Rattus norvegicus: one gene and its partner. The protein of the gene in region 2 purifies or fractionates together with the protein of the main gene of each other region. This does not show direct contact. Links are inferred from orthologs where the notes say so. Each region holds a gene or a part of one and is shown on either strand. Other genes may lie near its edges.

Evidence for each region.
Region 1: the proteins of Vcam1 (region 2) and Msn purify together in Homo sapiens (affinity purification with western blotting; 3 studies listed by BioGRID, with this or other methods). This does not show direct contact. The link is inferred for Rattus norvegicus from reciprocal best matches to the Homo sapiens genes VCAM1 and MSN.

Annotation. Positions count from the first base shown.
Region 1 is NC_086039.1:65,001,013-65,010,699, forward strand, and holds the start of Msn (moesin), read left to right. Parts: upstream 1-4,533; 5' UTR 4,534-4,632; coding exon 4,633-4,644; intron 4,645-9,687. UniProt on the Homo sapiens protein: Ezrin-radixin-moesin (ERM) family protein that connects the actin cytoskeleton to the plasma membrane and thereby regulates the structure and function of specific domains of the cell cortex.
Region 2 is NC_086020.1:206,719,238-206,728,205, forward strand, and holds the end of Vcam1 (vascular cell adhesion protein 1 precursor), read right to left. Parts: intron 8,101-8,968; coding exon 7,834-8,100; intron 4,702-7,833; coding exon 4,541-4,701; 3' UTR 3,813-4,540; downstream 1-3,812. UniProt on the Homo sapiens protein: Cell adhesion glycoprotein predominantly expressed on the surface of endothelial cells that plays an important role in immune surveillance and inflammation.

The DNA of each region.
Region 1 (9,687 bases), on a different chromosome or scaffold from region 2:
CCGCCAACTCTGAGGACAATGTGGCCTAAGTGGCCATTTCTGAAGATCGCCATGTTAACCACAGGGAGGACTGCCAGGGCTGGGCGGGGCAGGGCAGCCTAGAAGCAAGAAGACCAGAGAAGCACCTGTCTTCACAATCCAAAACAGTTGGTAAGGGTGGACCTCAGGTATTGTGGGGAGACATGGGAGGGAGGGAGCTGTCAAAGACAGACACACAGCAGAGCCCAACTTGCTGACCAATGGGGATGATCAAACAGGTGTATTAAACAAGATGACACTGTGTACATACAAGTCAGTGCTAACAGCAGAAGCACTAACAGAGCCGCTAGGGAGGATGAGGGTGAGCACAGTTCACAGAGCCTGGCCTCTGAGAGGTAGCCCGCACTGTGGGACACACGGCAGGAGGGGCACCCATCCTTCGAGAAGTGCCAAGTGCTTTGTGGAGGGAACACAAGCCATGCATACAGACATGTGGCTGGCCACCAGTCTGTGGGGACAGAGCTGGGATCTACTGACTAGACTGGGAGTCCCTGTTGGTAGGACTTATTTCAAATTCCAAGAGGACACTGGTTCAAATTGAACTGATCTCCTGGCTGGGGGAAGATCCTGACATGCTTACAACTTTATGTGAGGAAGAGCCAGGTAGAAGCCCTCCCCTCCCCTCACTGTGTTCCATTAGTGTGATTAATAATAAATATCCCCAGGCACTTGGTGCTGGCAAGACGCCTTGTCACTGCTGCTCATTACCCGTCCGCCACCCCCAGCTTCCAGGCTGCCCATTAGGTGCTGTGGAGAGAGGAGTCATGAAATGCACCTCCTCCCTGAGTGTGCCTGTCACAGCCTGGGACTGAGGCCATGCGTTTAGGCTGGCGGAAACCAAGTAGAACTTAACTCACAAGACCCAGGCCTAGCTTATTATCTTATTTTTGAGAAACCATGTGACTTTCCAAAAGGTACTTCACTTCCCAGACTCTCAATCTCCTCATTCCTAACACTGAAAAGTCTTTTGTGACATGATGTGAGTCCCTAGTACTCACTATATGGTAGGTAACATTTTCTCTGCTGTTAACTCAAACTCTGGTTTTTTGTTTCCAACAAAAGAGTTCCCTGTGAGTTTGATTTATATTTTCAGCCATATTGTGTCATAGGTTGAACTTGATCTGTTGGAGTGACAGCTGTATATTCTATTATAGTACCACCTAACTTCAGAATGTGCACACGTACACGCACCACATCCACCCATCTACTCCCCTTAAATACATGCACAAAGAAAATCTGGGTAACATGTCAAGGAGCTGAGCAAACTACTTAAAAGGGAGGCGCAGGAATCCAAGTGGAGTGGGAAGGATGCCATAGGGTGGAGGAAGGTTAAAGAGTGAAGGAAAAGAGGCAGGGAAATGGGTGAAACTGAGCCTAGGCAAGGAAAAATTGCAGAGTGCAAATTTTGGTGATCAGAACTACAGAACTGTGATAAGTCTTTTCTAGCCAGAATAGCCAGACTGATTCATGGAAAAGTCCACCACCAGATTTCTTGGTGACCCTGGATCTCACTAAATCTCTTGGTTGGCTGGCCAAAAAGCCTCTGGGACCTACTTGTCTCTGCACCATCCTTCTCCTCATATACCTCCTTGCCAGTCTTTCAGGTGGATGGTGGCATTTGAAGTCAAGCCCTCATGCTTATTGTGTAATAATTTTACCAATGGATTCCACTCTCCAGCTCTGAAATCTCTTTGCTCAATCTCCTGTCCCTTCATTGTGTTCTCTCCAGCTTTCTTGGACACTGGATCTAGAATGTTCCTGTACTGCGTCTGCTCCTAGCGGCCCTACCTTGCTTGACTGTTTAATAACACACTTGCCTAACCTTCCTTGAATGTTAGGAATTTAGCACATCTAAAATCCAAAATCTCTTCATGCTCCCTATGTCCCCCTGGGGAGCCTATGTGTGTGGATGTTCAAACTTTATTTCCATGTCTTTTTCTCCACACAGACTACCATAAATTAGATCATTTTTAAACTTAATTGTTGGGATTAGTCTGGTCCCAGTAAGATTGGTATAATTCTCTGAAGAAGAGGTTGGCAGGGGAAGAACAGAAGTATTGACCATGTAAATATGGAGTGGCATGCAGAGAGGTAGGAAGTAAGATGAATATCCCTGTCCTTACGGAAGAACAGCAGAGCACCACAGTTGCCTCTGGTTTGCACTGAAGATACGGAGACTATTTCAAGTCTAACATGCCAGTAATGTCCAGTTGCTTGACCACAGTAACCATTGCTACTTCAAGCAGCTTCTGTGTGGTGAAGGGGGAAGGTGGGGCATTACTTCATTGGTTCTCTCCCGACTCCACCCTGATTTTAACCATCATTGCTTTTGTGCAATCACTCATTCCCTAGGCCTAATCCTACCCATCTCCCTCAGATTCTTTTCAACTACTTCCTTACTATATTCTACCTGCCCCCACCCTATGGCATCCTTTCCTCTCCACTTGGATTCCAATGCTTCCCTTAGCATTTTAGTAGTTTGCTCAGCTCCTTGACATGCTACCCAGTTTTTCTTTGCGCATGTGTTTGCAGGGAGTAAAAGGGAGGGTGTGTCATGGCTGCGGATGTGCACATGCACATGGGGGTTAGGGAATTACATACTGGGGATTTCCACGTTCCAGAAAGTTAAAGTAGTCTGCAGTGGACTTATTTTAGTTATTTATTTTAGTGCCAAGATCTTTTAGGCCCTAGGTGAACATGAATGAAGAAATCAGTGAGGTTCTTTAACTTTGTAGGGGCTGAATAAGGTGGAGGGTCCATGGGCCATGGCAGTATCAAGGAATGTTGATTGGTTACCATTTCTACTCTTGCTACTGAGGTATTCTGAGAGGTCTTACTCCTCCTTGGGGCAAACACTTGACAGGCAAAGTTCTTTTTTACCTTACCACCTATCAGTGAACAGTGGTATCAGTGTCAGAAATGGAGGCATGTTGACTCATGAACACTGTAAAGTTGTGAGAAAATAAAATGGAACTGTTAGGTTCCTGAGTGTAAATGTAAGACTTTATGCAACTACCTACATGTTTCCTTTTTTCCTGAACTGGCTACTTATTTCTCCTCTTTTTATAATGTTTGAATGGGAAAGGACCTTGGAAACCCTGTAGTTTGGTCATTGTTATGGAAGGGGAAACTCAATATCAGAGAGGGGAAGGGACTTACCCAAGAAAGCGCAGAGGACACAGTGTGAGTTAATGATAAAACAATGATTTGAAGCCCGGTGGGTGTTCCGATTGCCCCTTTCAGATGTCCTTTCCACTATTCTGTGTTTGACTCTCCATCACTGAGGTATATGGTAATTTACCTCAGGAAAGACACACAATCCATGCCCCTGCATGGTTACCAGAACTGGAGGGTATCTCACCTGAAAGACTTGAATTTTTATTAAAAAGTGAATGTGAACCTGGCATTAGAGTGCATACCTATAGTCCCAGCACTAACGTGGCAGAAGCAGGAGGATTGGGGGTCCAAGTCAACTGGCTGCTGTTAGTACTCTGTGTCAAAAACAGTGGAAGTCTAGAAATGGTGTCAGACATCTGTGACCCAGTTGAGGTAGTAGGATTATTAGTCCAAGACTAACTTAGCCAATGTAGTAGGATCGTGAGTTCAAGACTAACCTAATCTATATAATGAGTTTAAAGCCAGCTCTGGTGACAAACAGACCAACCAAATCCAATATGTTGGGGAAGGGCTAAGGAAAAAACCAGAATACTGATGTGAGGAGAGTTGGGACTGGGAATTGGAGGATAGAAAGTGAACTTAGAAAACAGATATTTGGGAAAGGATCTCAATTCTGGAGAAAATGAGGCCCATACAGGGTCGAAGGAAGTGTGACAGGTTAAATGAATCCTATAGAAGGGAATGAATTGCTGAGGAAGAGCTGAAGAAGTTTAGTCCAGAAGTTTCCTGAGGAGTAGCAGAACTCCCAGGGGCTGCTATGGACAGCAGAGGATTTGTTGTGGTCCCAGGGAGCTTAAGGTGTTGAGTGATTGGAAGTCACAGAGAAAAAAGGAGGAACTTTCTAACTGACAAGGCTTCCTAGAGAGGGAACTGGGCAGCTCTACTAGGCAACCGGGTTCCCAATAGTGGTAACTCATAGTTCAGAAGCATCTGCTAGGGTGTGGCCCCCCAGTCAAGCTCTGGCTCAGACTGGGGGCGGAGTCAGATGGTCGAAACTTGGAGGGAGGGGGCAGTGAGGAAAGGTGGGGGGGCAGAGTGGGCATGGGTGGGGAGTGGGTGTCTTTGCGGAGTTTTGGCCCCGGGTCTGGCCCCCCACGTGGCCGGAGTAGCCTCTCTGGGCTGGGCAGGGTTGGGCGGGGCGATGCCCGAAGCCGCGGGCAGGCTGGCGGGAGGGCGGGGAGAGGCGCGGAAGCCCGGCCACATAAAGGAGCGAGCAGCGCAACGGGGGCGGCTCTTTCCTGGGTGGGGTTTGTAAAGTCGTGGCCCGTTAGCAGGAAGCGGAGCAGTCGCCCGACGCTAGAGTGGGACCCAATCTGAGCACCCGGTTCTCCCGAGTCCTTGCCGAAGTGTACTGCGCGCTCAGAGCAGCCCGACAGTTTCCAGCCAAACTTCAGCAACTCCTCCCTTGCCGCCACCATGCCGAAGACGGTGAGTGCGGCGGACTGGCGCGGTCGGCCCTGGGGGCTCCAGTTTGACCCTTGCCACTCTATGGCTTCGGGCTTGGTTGGTCTTAGGCCTGCTGGGGATGCTGGGCTGTCCCTTAGGGCCCTAGGAAGGAGGAGATAGTGGGGTCCTAATTTGAGCGCTTTAGGGGGTGACGGGGTGTAAAGACTAAAGTGTGGATAAGGAGTGGCCAGCCTTTCTTGGGTTCCAGTTCCCCGCCTCTGGGATGAAGCAGTGGAAACTCTTTTGAGGGGCTGGATAAACCCCCTTTTCTAACGGGTCGTTGGGCACTGGGAAAACGACTCTACTTTTGAGAACATTTCCCCCGCCCAGGAATTGGCGCCTTTCTGGAGCAAAGCTATCAGTGTCTCAGAAGAGCCCCATGGTTACAGAGAAGCAGGGAGGAGAGAGGAAGTTGCACAGGGCGGATCCCACACACCCATCCACCTTTCCCATAACCGCCCCTCTTCTACCCCACTTCTGCTCTGCCCCCTTCCACGGCTTCACAGCTCCAACTCCTTCCCCTGGGAGATGAGGAAGATGTAGGGGGACTCATCAGCTAGGCTGCTTTTCCCAGGGGTACAAACACTTCATTAGGCACAAGTCTGTGGAGGGGCCCACTCAACCTACTGGAAGACAGGGCAGGTTTCTCTTCCTCTATTCAAAATCCCTGTCAGACATAGTGCCTCTCTGTCCCCTTAGGACCGTTTTGTGAGGTATAGGTTTTCTCCTTTGGGGGCCACACCTATCTAGTGTGGTGGTTGATTTGTGATCTGGTCTCCACCCCACTGGCTGTTGCTACCCGAAGCCTCCTGGGAGTGAGGCCTAGGGGGGCCGGATGCCCAGTAGGGAGGGGTGGGGGAGGGGTATGTGCTTGACTAATGAGCTCTGCTTGCTTTTGTGCAAGTCACGCCAGGTCCTTGCTCATGAAGGCCCTATGACCACCGTGAATTGAATTACTTAGGTGAAGGGGCTTGCTGGGTTCCTGTGTTGTATGTTGCTAGCCTATCCATCTCTCTAGGACTGCCTGAGCTTGGTAGAACTGAGATAGTGTCTAGGATGCTTGAGAAGGGATTAAGGCGCCTGGGAAGAGAAGAGAGCGAATAGACATGGGGAGGTCTTTGTGTCTGTATTGAGGTTTCTTCGCCACCTTATACTATATTCCAGCTACACTACTGAGTCGTCCTTGCCTTCGCAGAACCCAGTTCTTAAGAAACACCAAGCTTTCTTTTTTAAATATATATTCTAATTTTTTGAGTCAGAGTCCCTTAGTCTTATATAAAATTATACTTTGTGAAAGTATATACGTATGTGAAATTATACTTTGTTCCCTACCTCCACTGCCCTCCTGTCATCTCCTTCACCCCAAGACCTCTGGCAGATTTCCTAACTCCCCTCAGTTAGTCTTCCCTTCTGTTTTCTTATCACATGTATTCTGTGGGGCTTTGCAGTGGGGAGGATCTCACCCTATAATCTAGGCTGGCATGGTACTCCCCATGTAATGTAGGTTGCTTTCAGATTTTTGCCAATCTTCCTGCCTCGGCGGTGCTGAGATTACGGGCTTGAGCCACCACATCTGGCTTGTTAAATTGTTTTGATAGAGGATTTGATTCTAGCCAAGGCTGGTTTGAACTCACTTTGTTTTGTAGCCTGAGATATACCTAAAAACTCTTGGAAGTAAATCCTTTTCAAATGAGAGATTCTAAGTTTGAGCCACCACTAAACTCGGCTTCTATTCCTTCAGCTTCTAAGCTGTGTACTTAACCATTTCTAAACTATGAAAGATAGAGAATGGTAGTGTCAAAAATTAAATGCCTTTTTTTGTGTTCGACATGATCAGTTTCACCGTTTAAGCCAATTTCTCTTAGCCAGGACAGCCTACTTTGAATATGTTGAAATACACCTTTTTGGGACTATTTCTGGTTACTAGTTCCCAAAGTCTGGTCTTGTGTTTTTCAAGGCAAGGTCCTATACTGTTGTAGCAGAGGTAGGCCTCCAGTTCCTAGCCATCTCAACCCAGCCCGCTGAGTGCTAGGATCAGAGAAGCTCTTACAGGTTCTGGTCTCAGTGCCTCACGTGGCAACTTACAACTGCCTGTAACGCCAGTTCCAGGGGATCTAACTCCCTCTTTTGGTGTCCTTAAGCATCAGGCACAAATGTGGTACACATACATGCTGCCAAAACACTCATGAACATAAAATAAAAATAAACTTTTTTTTTTGGAGAAAGTCTTTCCCTTTCAATTCCATCTTTAACTTTTTGTTTTTATTTCCAAGAATTAGGAGACTCACTTAGATTTCCTAAAAAGGAGATTGTTAATTTTCAAGATTTTGAGTTTTTAATTTCAAACTTTAGGATGTATTAAGTGTTACAATTTATTTATTTGCTGAACTGGTTTTATGAAACAGGGTCTCATATATCCTAGGCTAGACTTGAACTTCCACCACCAAAATACTGGGATTTGTTGTCATAAGACCAAGTCCAAGTCTTCCCATTGTCTAGATGGGGGGATTGAAACTGGTGAACGGGGAGAATGGACCATGACTGTTGCAGCATACCAACAGGAAGACTACAACTTGGGTCTAGGTCTTTTTTGAGGTGGGGAGGTCAGTCTTGGAAAAACCTGTTTAGTTTACTGGGATTTAGCAAATCATGGGAAAAAGTGATCAGTGCTCACTGGATGGTACCATCCATGATTGACACAGAGCCCAGCTCCTTGAAGTATTTGAAAACTTCTGGGTCCGCATTCAGCTAAACTTTAACAGGGGCTGTATGAACTGTTGGTTTTCCTGCCATTCCTAGCATTGCTTGAGCCACTGAAGTGGCACTAAAGTGGTACTTGGCGAATAGGGGGCAGAATTTCAGGCTTCTAACCCTTGAACCAGCCCTGCCTGTAGACTTGAGGGTGGGGCAAAGGATCAGGAATGAAGGTCGTGTGGGAGGCTTCTGTCTCTGTCTGCTGCACCTCCCCACCATCTCTCTCTTTTTTGGAAACAGTTGCTGTGTAGCCCTCAGGGGCCTATAAAATAGGTTGGTCTTTTCTTTTTTTTTTTTTTTTTGGTTGTTGGTGTTTTAACTCAGAGCAATCCTCTTGACTCTGCTTCAGAATTTCTGGAATTATAGGTGTGAACTACCACCTGAGGGTGTTTTGTTTTTGTTTTGAGACAGAGTCATGCTCTGTACAGCCCAAATTGGCCTTGATTCCAGACAATCCTATTTCTATCTCTCTAATGATGAAATTATATAGTCTGCACGCACACACACACACACACACACACAGAGGAGTGGACATCAAAGGATCAAAGGGCAAAGTTTCGGGAGTCTGTTCTCCTCACTATGGGATCTGGCAATAAAGTGGTCAGCTTTGGCTGCTAAGTGGGTTACCCTTTGAGCCATCTTGGACATCACTCGATTTGTTTGTAACGGAGTATCATGATGCCCACTTTGGATTCCAACAAGATATATAGGCAAGGATGACCTTGAACTCTGTATCTTCCCACCCCAGCCTCCCTTATACTAGGATAACAGATGATGTTACAGTGTCTACGCTTTTCTCCACTCTTGATTTTCCAATTTGCTGAACCCTTTGTGGAAGTCTAGATAGTAGAGAACAGAACAGGCACCATCTTGGGGATTTCATTTATACCTACTCATGAAAAATCTCTTGCACAGAGAGGGAAAAGTCAAGGCACAAAATAGCCTCTACTTTTTTCTTGGGGGGAAGGTTGCTCTCTCAGTCAGTGATGCATTATTCTCTAAGTGCCGTAATGGCGGCCTGTAAGGGAAGTGTTATCAGGCATGGTAGCTCATGCCTGTAATTGTAGCACTTGGGAGGATAGAAAGAAGATTGTAGTGAGTTTGAGGCCAGCTTGAGTTATAGAGTGAGGCTGTCTAACCCTCCCCCCCCCAAAAAAAAAACCCTAACAGTGAACCAAAAAAAAAAAAGCGGTGCCTTTTCTTCTGTCTGATACTGTAATCCTACTGCTTTACTAGATTGTGGAGATGGAAGGGACATTTAGAGGTCATTTAGTCTTTCCCCATGCTTCCAAATCTAATTCTCTATGGATGAGAAGTGATGACAGCTACAATTATTCTGAACTCTGTTCTAATAGTGTTGCTTAGCAACAGTCTTTCTTAGGTTCCATTGTATATTCAGGGAGTCCACCTCCTGCCCCCACTGGAATTTCTAGGCTCAGGGTCCCTGGAGGGGGAGCACTGGCTACGAGCAGTACTATCAGGGTTGGGCTTTTCATGGCCACACTGGGTCTGATCTTTGAAGATAGATCCTGACTCTGATCTTTGAAAGATAGAACTGAGTTTATCATGTGCTTCTTTCTTAACTTCAATCTTTTCTGCTACCCCACCTCATTCCTCTGTCCCTTAAAGAAGGAAAAAAACAACCAAACAAATGAACAGTACAAAGGTGGTCTTCCTTGGGGCTGTCCGTTGGTCAGGTCATGATGAGGATGGTTTTTTATAATTGACTGGCTTTGCTGTTCATCCCTTTTACTTCATGCTTGATAGAGCTGAAAAACTTTGCAGTTCCAGGTTCTAATTTGTGATAGAGGATCTCTTGGTTTGGAGGGTTAGCTCAGCATTACATGAACAAGGATCGTGGGTGTTGGGAAATAGAAAGTAAAACTCAACTTAGAATATTCGTTCTCATTCTATATAAGGAGATGAGATGCTCTTTGATTTTTAAAGACTTATTATGTGTTATTTATATTTGAACAAAAAAAATTTCCTTGAAGCTTGGTGGTGGTGGCACACATCTTTAATCCCAGCATTTCAGAAGCAGAGGCAGGCTGATCTCTGTGAGTTTGAGGGCTTCCTGGCCTACAGAACTAGTCCCAGGACAGCCAGGGACACACAGAGGGACTCTGTTTCAAACAAACAAACAAACAAACAAACAAACAAACAAACAATTTCTTTGAAAGTGTTCCTGAGACTTTTAAAGGAATTCTGTGAATATATAGATACTTGCCAATAGCTGAAATTCTAAATGTTGCCTGAGTCTATAAAATTAAA
Region 2 (8,968 bases):
ACTCATGTTTTTTAAAAAAAGAAGAAATCACACAGGGATTTAGTACATATTTTAACTGAATGAGAATGAAATATACCACATAACAGTTTGTGACACGAAGCTAATTACATGGAATAATTATCCCTCAACTGCTTATACTAAAGCTATGGAAGGCTCTAAATAGTTGAATAAGGTCTCTCCCAAATAGTCTAGAAAAAGAATAGCAAGCCCCATCTAAAGAAAACAGGGAAATGAAGTCATAAGAAGGCACAAAGGTCAGTGGCACAGGAAGCAAAAGCAGTAGGTTAAAATCAAGGAAACGAGAAGGCAGTGCTTTGCAAAGCTCAGTGGCATAGATCAACCTCTACTCGTCTAACCAAGGAAAGAGAAAACACAAGTCACCAACGTTAATGCAGGGGAGTACATAAAGATCCTCCAGTCATTAAAAGAATAATAATATTCTATTTGTGTGTGTGTGTGTGTGTGTGTGTGTGTGTTTGAGTTTTATTTTTGAGATTGTCATATAATTACAACCACTTCTTTCTGCTTCCGCCAAACCCTCCCACGCAACCCTTCTTGCTCTCTTTCAAATCCATTGCCCCCTTTTCGTTGTTACATGCACACATGTATATGTATATACATATGTATTTGTAAATATAACCTGTTCAGTCTATATGATGGTACCTGTATGTATGTTTTCAGTGCTGACCATTTGCTATTAGATAATATGTGCTCTTCCCTGGAGACTATTTCTCCCCCTCCCAGCAACTATCAGTTACCAGTAGCTGTTCTGCTGGGGTGGTATCCTATGCCCCTCTCAATGATGGCATTTGGTCTGGCTTGAACTCGCATGGATTTTATGCATAGGAAACTACAAAACTTTTTGAGGCAGGGTAGTAAACATTCTACCTCTGAGCAGAAAAATATGTTTTAATTATGACAGAACTTGGAAGCCAAAATAGAAAACTCAACACATTTGAGTATGGTGGAATTTAAATTACTGTCATCTGAAGAGACCCCAGAGGTGAATCCATAGGTCATAAATGGGGTAGTGGACTATGTAGAGCAGCTGAGCGATTATAAAAGGAAATCAAAGGACTGGGATCAAGGAAAAGAGTATTTGTGTGTATTTATGTGTTAATAAAAACAGATCACTATACTCCAGAATAAAAGGTCAATATACTCTGACCACCTCTCGGTAACCCTCTCCCACAATCCTTCCCTATCCCCTCCTCCCCTTCTCCTCTGAGTGGGTGGGAGCTCCCCTGGGTATCCCCTCACCTTGATACATTAAATCTCTGTGAGACTAGGCACATCCTCTCCCACCGAGGCCAGACAAGGCAGCCCAGCTAGAAGAACATATCCCATAGACAGACAACAGCTTTAGGGATGGCCCCTGCTCCAGTTGTTCAGGACCCACGTGACGACCAGGCTGCAAATCTGCTACACATGTGTGGGGAGGCCTAGGTCCAGCCTTTGAATGTTCTTTGGCTGATGGTTCAGTCTCTGAGAGCCCCAAAGGTTGAGGTTAGTTTACTCTGTTGATCTTCCTACAGAGTTTTATCCCCTTTGGGGGCTTGCAATTCTTCCCCCTATTCTTCCATGAGTTCAAGCTCTATTCACTGGCTGTGGGTGTCTGTATCTGTCTGAGTCAGTTGCTGGAAGGAACCTCTCAGAGGACAGCCATGCTAGACTCTTGTCTGATATATAGATATTTTTAGGGAAGAGAGTTCAAGTGTCAGTAAAGATAAAATCATTCTTAAATATATGAAAATAATGTTCAAATTCACTAATGATCAGGTCAATTTAATGTTAAAGCATTTTGAGAAACAATAATTGAGAATAAATAAATTATTTAAGTCAGATGACGCCACATTGAGCAGGGTGAGCACTGGTGGGAATTCTTCACTGTAGAGAAGGAAGACATTATGTAACTACTTTTGAAAGGATTGGCTTCCCTGATGAACCTGACAGTGCACACAAACTACCATCAAGAATACTGGCTGATTGGTACAGGCTCTAGGGAAACCATGGCAACATTCATAAATTCTCACATTGCAGTAACGCTTACAGGAGCTTCTTTTCATATCAGAAAAGATGAAAACACACAAATATCTATTAATAAAAGGATGGACAAACAAGAAACATAAAGTCTTAGAGTAGAACCCTGGAGAGCAGAGAAAACGAGTGACCTATATTGTCTGTAACAACTAACAATGGCTAAATTGTGCAAGAATTAAAGTTTGAAAAAAGAATAAAGTCACAGGGCACACATGTCATTGGATTTTGCTTGTATACAATTCAAAGCCTAGCAAGCTCATGTACTACTAAGAGTTACTTATTTATACAGGTACAGATCCTCCAGAGAGGGAAAATGACCAAGCCATAATTCAGGACCTACTGACTCAGTGGGAAGAGAGTTGCTACTGTGTTACACATACAAGATGACCTGAAAAATAACAGTTTTGTCTTTTAGACTTTGTAGTATGTACCTAAGAGTTTATTCTTTGCCAATCTATTGTACATATTGCATAACCGTTTTTTATTTTTTATTTTTTTTATTTATTAACTTGAGTATTTCTTATATACATTTCGAGTGTTATTCCCTTTCCCAGTATCCGGGCAAACATCCCCCTCCCCCTCCCCTTCCTTATGGGTGTTCCCCTCCCAACCCTCCCCCCATTGCCGCCCTCCCCCCAACAGTCTAGTTCACTGGGGGTTCAGTCTTAGCAGGACCCAGGGCTTCCCCTTCCACTGGTGCTCTTACTAGGATATTCATTGCTACCTATGAGGCCAGAGTCCAGGGTCAGTCCATGTATAGTCTTTAGGTAGTGGCTTAGTCCCTGGAAGCTCTGGTTGCTTGACATTGTTGTACATATGGGGTCTCGAGCCCCTTCAAGCTCTTCCAGTTCTTTCTCTGATTCCTTCAACGGGGGTCCTATTCTCAGTTCAGTGGTTTGCTGCTGGCATTCGCCTCTGTATTTGCTGTATTTTTTAACCGAATTGTTAGATTCCAAGAATCCTAAACTACAAATCATCTTTAAATTTTTTTATTCATTCTTTTCTCCTGTATTACATCCTGACCAGAAATTCCTTTCCCTCCTCTGCTCCCAGTCCTTCCTCTCCACCTCCTATCTCCATGAATCCAATTCTCCTCCTGTTTCTCTCCAGAAAAGGACAGGTCACACGGGGTTGTCAACCATACATGGCATATCATGTTGCAGTATGACTAGACATTGCCCTTCATATTAAGACTGGATGAGGCAACCCAGTAGGAAGAAAAGGGTCCCAAAGCAGGCACTGTCAGGAGTCTTATAAGAAGACCACACTACACAACCACAACTTATATGGAAAGGACCTAGGTCAGATGCACTTCAGGCTCCATGATTGTTGGTTTAGTCTCTGTGGCTCCTCGTGTGCCTGGGTTAGTTGATTCTGTGGGGTTTCTTGTGGTTCCCGTGACCCCTCTGGCTCCTGCAATCCTCCTCTCCCTCTTCTGCAGGGTTTCCAAGCTTTGCCTAATGTTTGACTGTGGGTCTCTGCATCTGTCCCCATCAGTTGCTGGATGAAGCCTCTCTGATGATGATTATGCTAGGCTCTTGTCTATGACAAACTACAGTTCTTAATGTATTATGGTGAGATGATATGAATAAATCTGTTTGTCATATTCTCATGGCAATTTTGATAAATCGTGGTCTGAAGACCATGTTTTGAGTATCTGTATTATGTTAATAGTTTGAAGTTTTTTACTCTGATAACTGACAATTCCAGAAGAACAAGACAACAGTTAAAGGAGACAATTTACAACAAACGAAATGCAGCTCTTCCATGTTCAGAAACTTTCACTTTACTGTAGTATTTATAAGTCAAATGAAGTTGCATTTAAACCATGTTAGTCATTATACAAGATCCTGATGAAGAAACACGTCCCCGTACCGTACAGTTGAGAAAACTACTTAATCAGTATACCATGAATTAGGAAAGTAGTACCTGAAAGTCAACCCAGTGACCTTTTTACCATTTGCCTATAAAAATATAAAACCCTGGCTTCTTTAAAAAAAAATGAAATCATTGTCAATAAAATGCATAGGAATAAAATTAGGCTGAAGAAAATAAAGTACAAAAAGGTGACACTGGTCAGCTGCCTACTCAACATTAACACCAACATTAAACTTTCCTAAGAAGCATGAAGTTACAACAGTCAGTCCAAGCAACACGTTTTGATTTTGTTCTGACCTACATCTGGAGTGCTACTACTCTAAACGACCTCGCAATGACATCATTTTATTTTACATATGTACACTGAGGCTATTTATATACATGTCATGGTACTGTTCCGGTCTCTTCAGCAATGGGGACTTGCCGAGCAGAAGATTTCTAGTTGGCTTCTTGCACTCAGCAAGGGATCAAGTGGCCACTTCTTTTCCTTCTTTGCCGAGAAGGGTTCTGAGAAGTCTGAATGCATAGCTTGGTTTGTGGAGGGGGAACAGTGCTGCAATAAAGAGTATGAAGGGTCCGGGGTTTATAAATAATGTCTTTTCTCCAACAGTTCAGACGTTAGCTACACTTTTGACTTCTGTGCCTCCACCAGACTGTACGATCCTTTCATGTTGGCTTTTCTTGCAAAGTAAATGATCATCCCAATGGCGGGTATTACCAAGGAGGATGCAAAGTAGAGTGCAAGGAGTTCAGGGGAAAAATAGTCCTTGTTATTTTCTTTTCCTGGAAAATCAGCAAATGGATTCAATTAATGTCTAGCACAAAGGGAAATAATTCAACCGCAGTGTGTGTTTGATTGTAACAGTACAACTAGTTCTTCAAAAGAGGCAGTAAAAGCTGTGCTGAGGACCATCGAGACTCATATAACACATTTCTTTTTTTCCTGAAATATCCAAATAAGCAGCTTTTGGTTGCTATGCTCAGGATGGGTACAGGGATGACACTTTTTGACTCTACAAACTTGGATTTTAAAAGATTGTTCTGGGTGCTGAAAGGAAGGGGTAGTGCACATTTTAGTGACCTGTTTTATAAGAGTAGAAATCAGAAATAACCCTGCGACACTGATAGTCATGAACAGCAATGCCTAACGAGTTCTATAAGACAGTCTATGTAACACTCAGTGTGGGCATTAAGGTTAACGACAGAGCATTCTTGTCAGTGGTTGCCTGGATGTGCTTGTGTGGTGTGTTCTGAGTGGCTGAAGCAAAAGTATCTTTATATGATTACTCCCCTCCAGCATCGACAACTTCTCTTCATTTACTGATGGTCTTTGGGTATTTCACTTAAGTAAATGTCGTAGTTACTGGCAGAGTACATTCTCTGACCTACACCTAAACTGGAGTATGTAAATTGATACTCACTCCACCATTCCTTCAAAATCCAACCAGCACAACTTCTTATCCCCCTCATAGCTTGTAATTCAATATTTGACCGAGCAATTATCTGGTTTCCTCCCCTAACTGCAAACTCTGTAAAGACAGCTGTGTTTATAGAAGGTGCCTCACAACTACCCAGCACTTCAGACACGTCTTGGCACTCCGGATAGTCCCAAAATATTATTTGAGCACCAAAAAAGTGTTTGCCTTTCTAAATCTTATAATTTTGCTACATGGTCATAAATCGAGTACTGAAAATGACAATATATAAACAGTTTAAAATCTTTTCAGAGAACACACGAGTATAGCAACACCTCGAGCAACATCCAAGCTGCATAAAAACATCTCCAGAGAGCCTGGCATGCTCCCAAGACTTGCCTCTGTTTTTTTTGCACCCCACAGTGTGGCCTCACAGTTATGTTTCACTAAGTGGAAGGGTATGCTGTCTGAGTCTGGGCAGGGATTAGAGATCTGATCTGAAGCACATTGACAACTCCTTCCAGAACTTTCAAAACACAGAAAGTCATTCAAGTAGAAAAGACTCGTTAGCATCTCATGAGTGAATTGTTTCAAATTACTGAAGGATAAAAAACGATGCTTCACCTTGGGCATCATGATAATGACCTCATTTCTCTGCTTTCCTTTGATAGAATTGATCGAAGGGTAATGGTTTAATGGGATACTTATCATAATTGTGGTTACTCGTCAATATTGATGTCAAACTAGGAAGAAGTATTTCTGCTATTGTTTTCTTTTCAATTTAATTATTATCTTTGCCTTTCAGTTTGTCCCTCAGACATCTGTCAGAAACTCAAAATGGATCCAGTTGCTAGGACAATGTCCCAACACATTTTTTCCTGTTAATTATATAAACTTTGAAAGTTCTAACGATTCCTGATCATTTGCATCAATGGGATGCATTTAAGCCAAAACCAAACAAGACAACAAACATAAACATTCAGCTAGGAATACAAAGAAAAACCAGTTTAAACTATCGAGCAGGGAGGAAGGGAGGTCAACTTTGGGTCTTTTCATATGCAGTTATTTGAAATCATCTTCATATTGGGAGCATAGATGTCTGGCTGGGTGACTAATATGTTTTCATTGTTCATTTAAAAGATAAATTAAAGGTGACAAATACATAAGAAATTAATTAAGCAATTAGAAAAGACAATGTGGGAAGGGACAGTTTTTATGTTCTTGAGGAGAAACAGCCAGGCACACGCAGGATGACAAAAATCTTAGAAGTGCAATTTCCTGGGGCTAGGCTAAATTAGAGCTGGCCAGAGGAAGACATATCTCAGCCTATGCATAATTGAGATCTCGGTCCATCTCACCGGAGGCAACGGCTGCACACACTGTGTCATACCCAGTGACGTGATGGGAGCTACTGTTCCGCTCTTTGAATTCATGGTAGCCTCCTTGGCCAGATTGTTTTCAGAACAATCACCATGAGCAGGAGACTAGAAGTCTGACATGTAATTATGATATTTCCCTTTCCTTTAACATTTCTAAGTAGATGTATTTGCTCTGATTTGAGGAGGTGCTATGAGGACAGAAAAGCAGTGTATGCTAAGGTCTGTCATCTTGAAGAATGTGGCTAGTACAGTGTGTATGTGTTTTCTCACGCATGTTCAGATTTTCTCTGCACTGACGTGTGACTCGTTAACTCTCATAGTCAAGGCCAGCCTTCTTCAGAGTTGGCATTCATTAGCAGTGTTGCTCCCTCTACCCGACTGGATTTCAGCGTACAACAGCTCTTTGGTGTGCAAAGGGTCCAAGGCTCATTAGTCAAGGCTAGCATCAATAAAATTAGCAGGCACTCACAAGAGAGAACAGGAAAGTAAGGAGTGCCATTATGTGTCCGTGGGTGAGGGGCACTGTGCCCCCTTCCTCTGCATCAGGTTAAAGTCGGACAACTGGGGCATGGATTTCAAAGGGAGCTCTTGTGGAATCTAGAGATCCTGCCTCGGATCCAGGCCACTCTCTCCAATTAGCATCCTCACAAAAGAGCCATGCCGAAAATACACGCAGTTTTTCTGTACTCTGAAAGCAGAACTTCTCCTCACTGGGGAGCAAGGTCTGCAGAGGACAGTTCATCTGCTATGCCCGCCCCAATTCCTTAGTTTCCTTTCACCCTAGGGGAAACGTTGTAAAATATGTCGTTAAACTCTTAGCAAATCTAAGACCACAGAGACCAATGATGAATTGGCAACTTCAGGGAAAAAAAAAAAACAAATGGGAATTCCACATCAATGATGATTAATGTCCACTTCCTGGCTAAACGTGATAGGATAGAACAGCTGCGTCTGATTATTTCGAGACGCGTTTAAGAAACAAGCGGTCAGCGCGGACAGAATTCAGTCTCATTTTACCAACTCCAGCTAACAGTAGAAACTTGTTACTCTCCTTGGAAACTTGGAATCATTTTAAAAATAAATTAAGAAGAAAAAAAAGAAAGCAAACACCGAAAGCTAACCTTTCACATCAAGTGTTAAACTTCGCAACTGCGAGCCGACTTCGGTTTTCGATTCACACTCGTATACTCCGGCATCCTGCAGCTGTGCCTTGCGGATGGTGTACGAGCCATTAACAGACTTTAGCACCATGTCTCCTGTCTTGGCTTTCTTTTTCAGAATTATCCATATTTCGGGCACACTTCCACAAGTACAGGAGATAATGACAGTGTCTCCCTCTTTGACGCTCTTAGATGGGAAGACTGTAAGCTGTATGTCCTTCGAAGAGCCTGAAGAGAGAATGGACAGTTGGTGCGTGCGGGAGGGGTACAGCAATCCCATACTGCCTGAAAACGTTGGCAGCCATTGCCAAGCTGTTTGCGAGGCTTTCTGCATGAGCTGGAAGGAAGGAAGGCAAGCACAGAAGCCGGGCATTGGACCAATTCTCAACGATAATATTGTAAGCAAGAGAAGGCATATCTCAGGGTTCCTTTCTACCCTTAGTATGATTCTTTACCCAGGCAAAGACAAAAATTAGGTATTTAATAAGTAGCTGTAGAATTTAAACATCGAAAAAAACCTTTATTTTTTATTATTTTTTTAAAAAACCACATTGTTCACTGAACTTTCCTAGAAGCATAAAAGCCTTATGAGCTAGGTGCTCCCTGACCAGAAATTAGGATATATAGAGATTATTTTTCCTTTTACTGTCTTTAAGAACATAGTAATTAATTTTCAAATTTCCGGCTGATCTCTCCTGAGAGATAGAACATTTCTGTAAGGGCAAAAACCTTAGAGGGAAACACCCTTAGTCTGTTTTATAAACACTTGCTTAAGACCTTGTCACACTGATGCTCCTGCCCCAAGGCCACAGGGCCGTGACATCCACACTTAGGTTTCCTTTTCTCTCAGATGGTCACACTGTGTCACCCGGACAGACCTGAGAGTCTCCTAAAGGCTTTCCTTGAGATTATGTGGTACCCTTCCCTGGTTCTTCTTTTGAATTACAGACCTCAGAGAACCGAGGCAGCAGGAACAACAAACCCTAGTATTTGCCTTAACAGGAATAATGGAAGCTGATGCAGGAGACTGCCACCCTGGTCCCCCCAAAGAAAAAGCACGGGGGGGGGCAATGCAAGTTGGTGGCTTGCATAATTT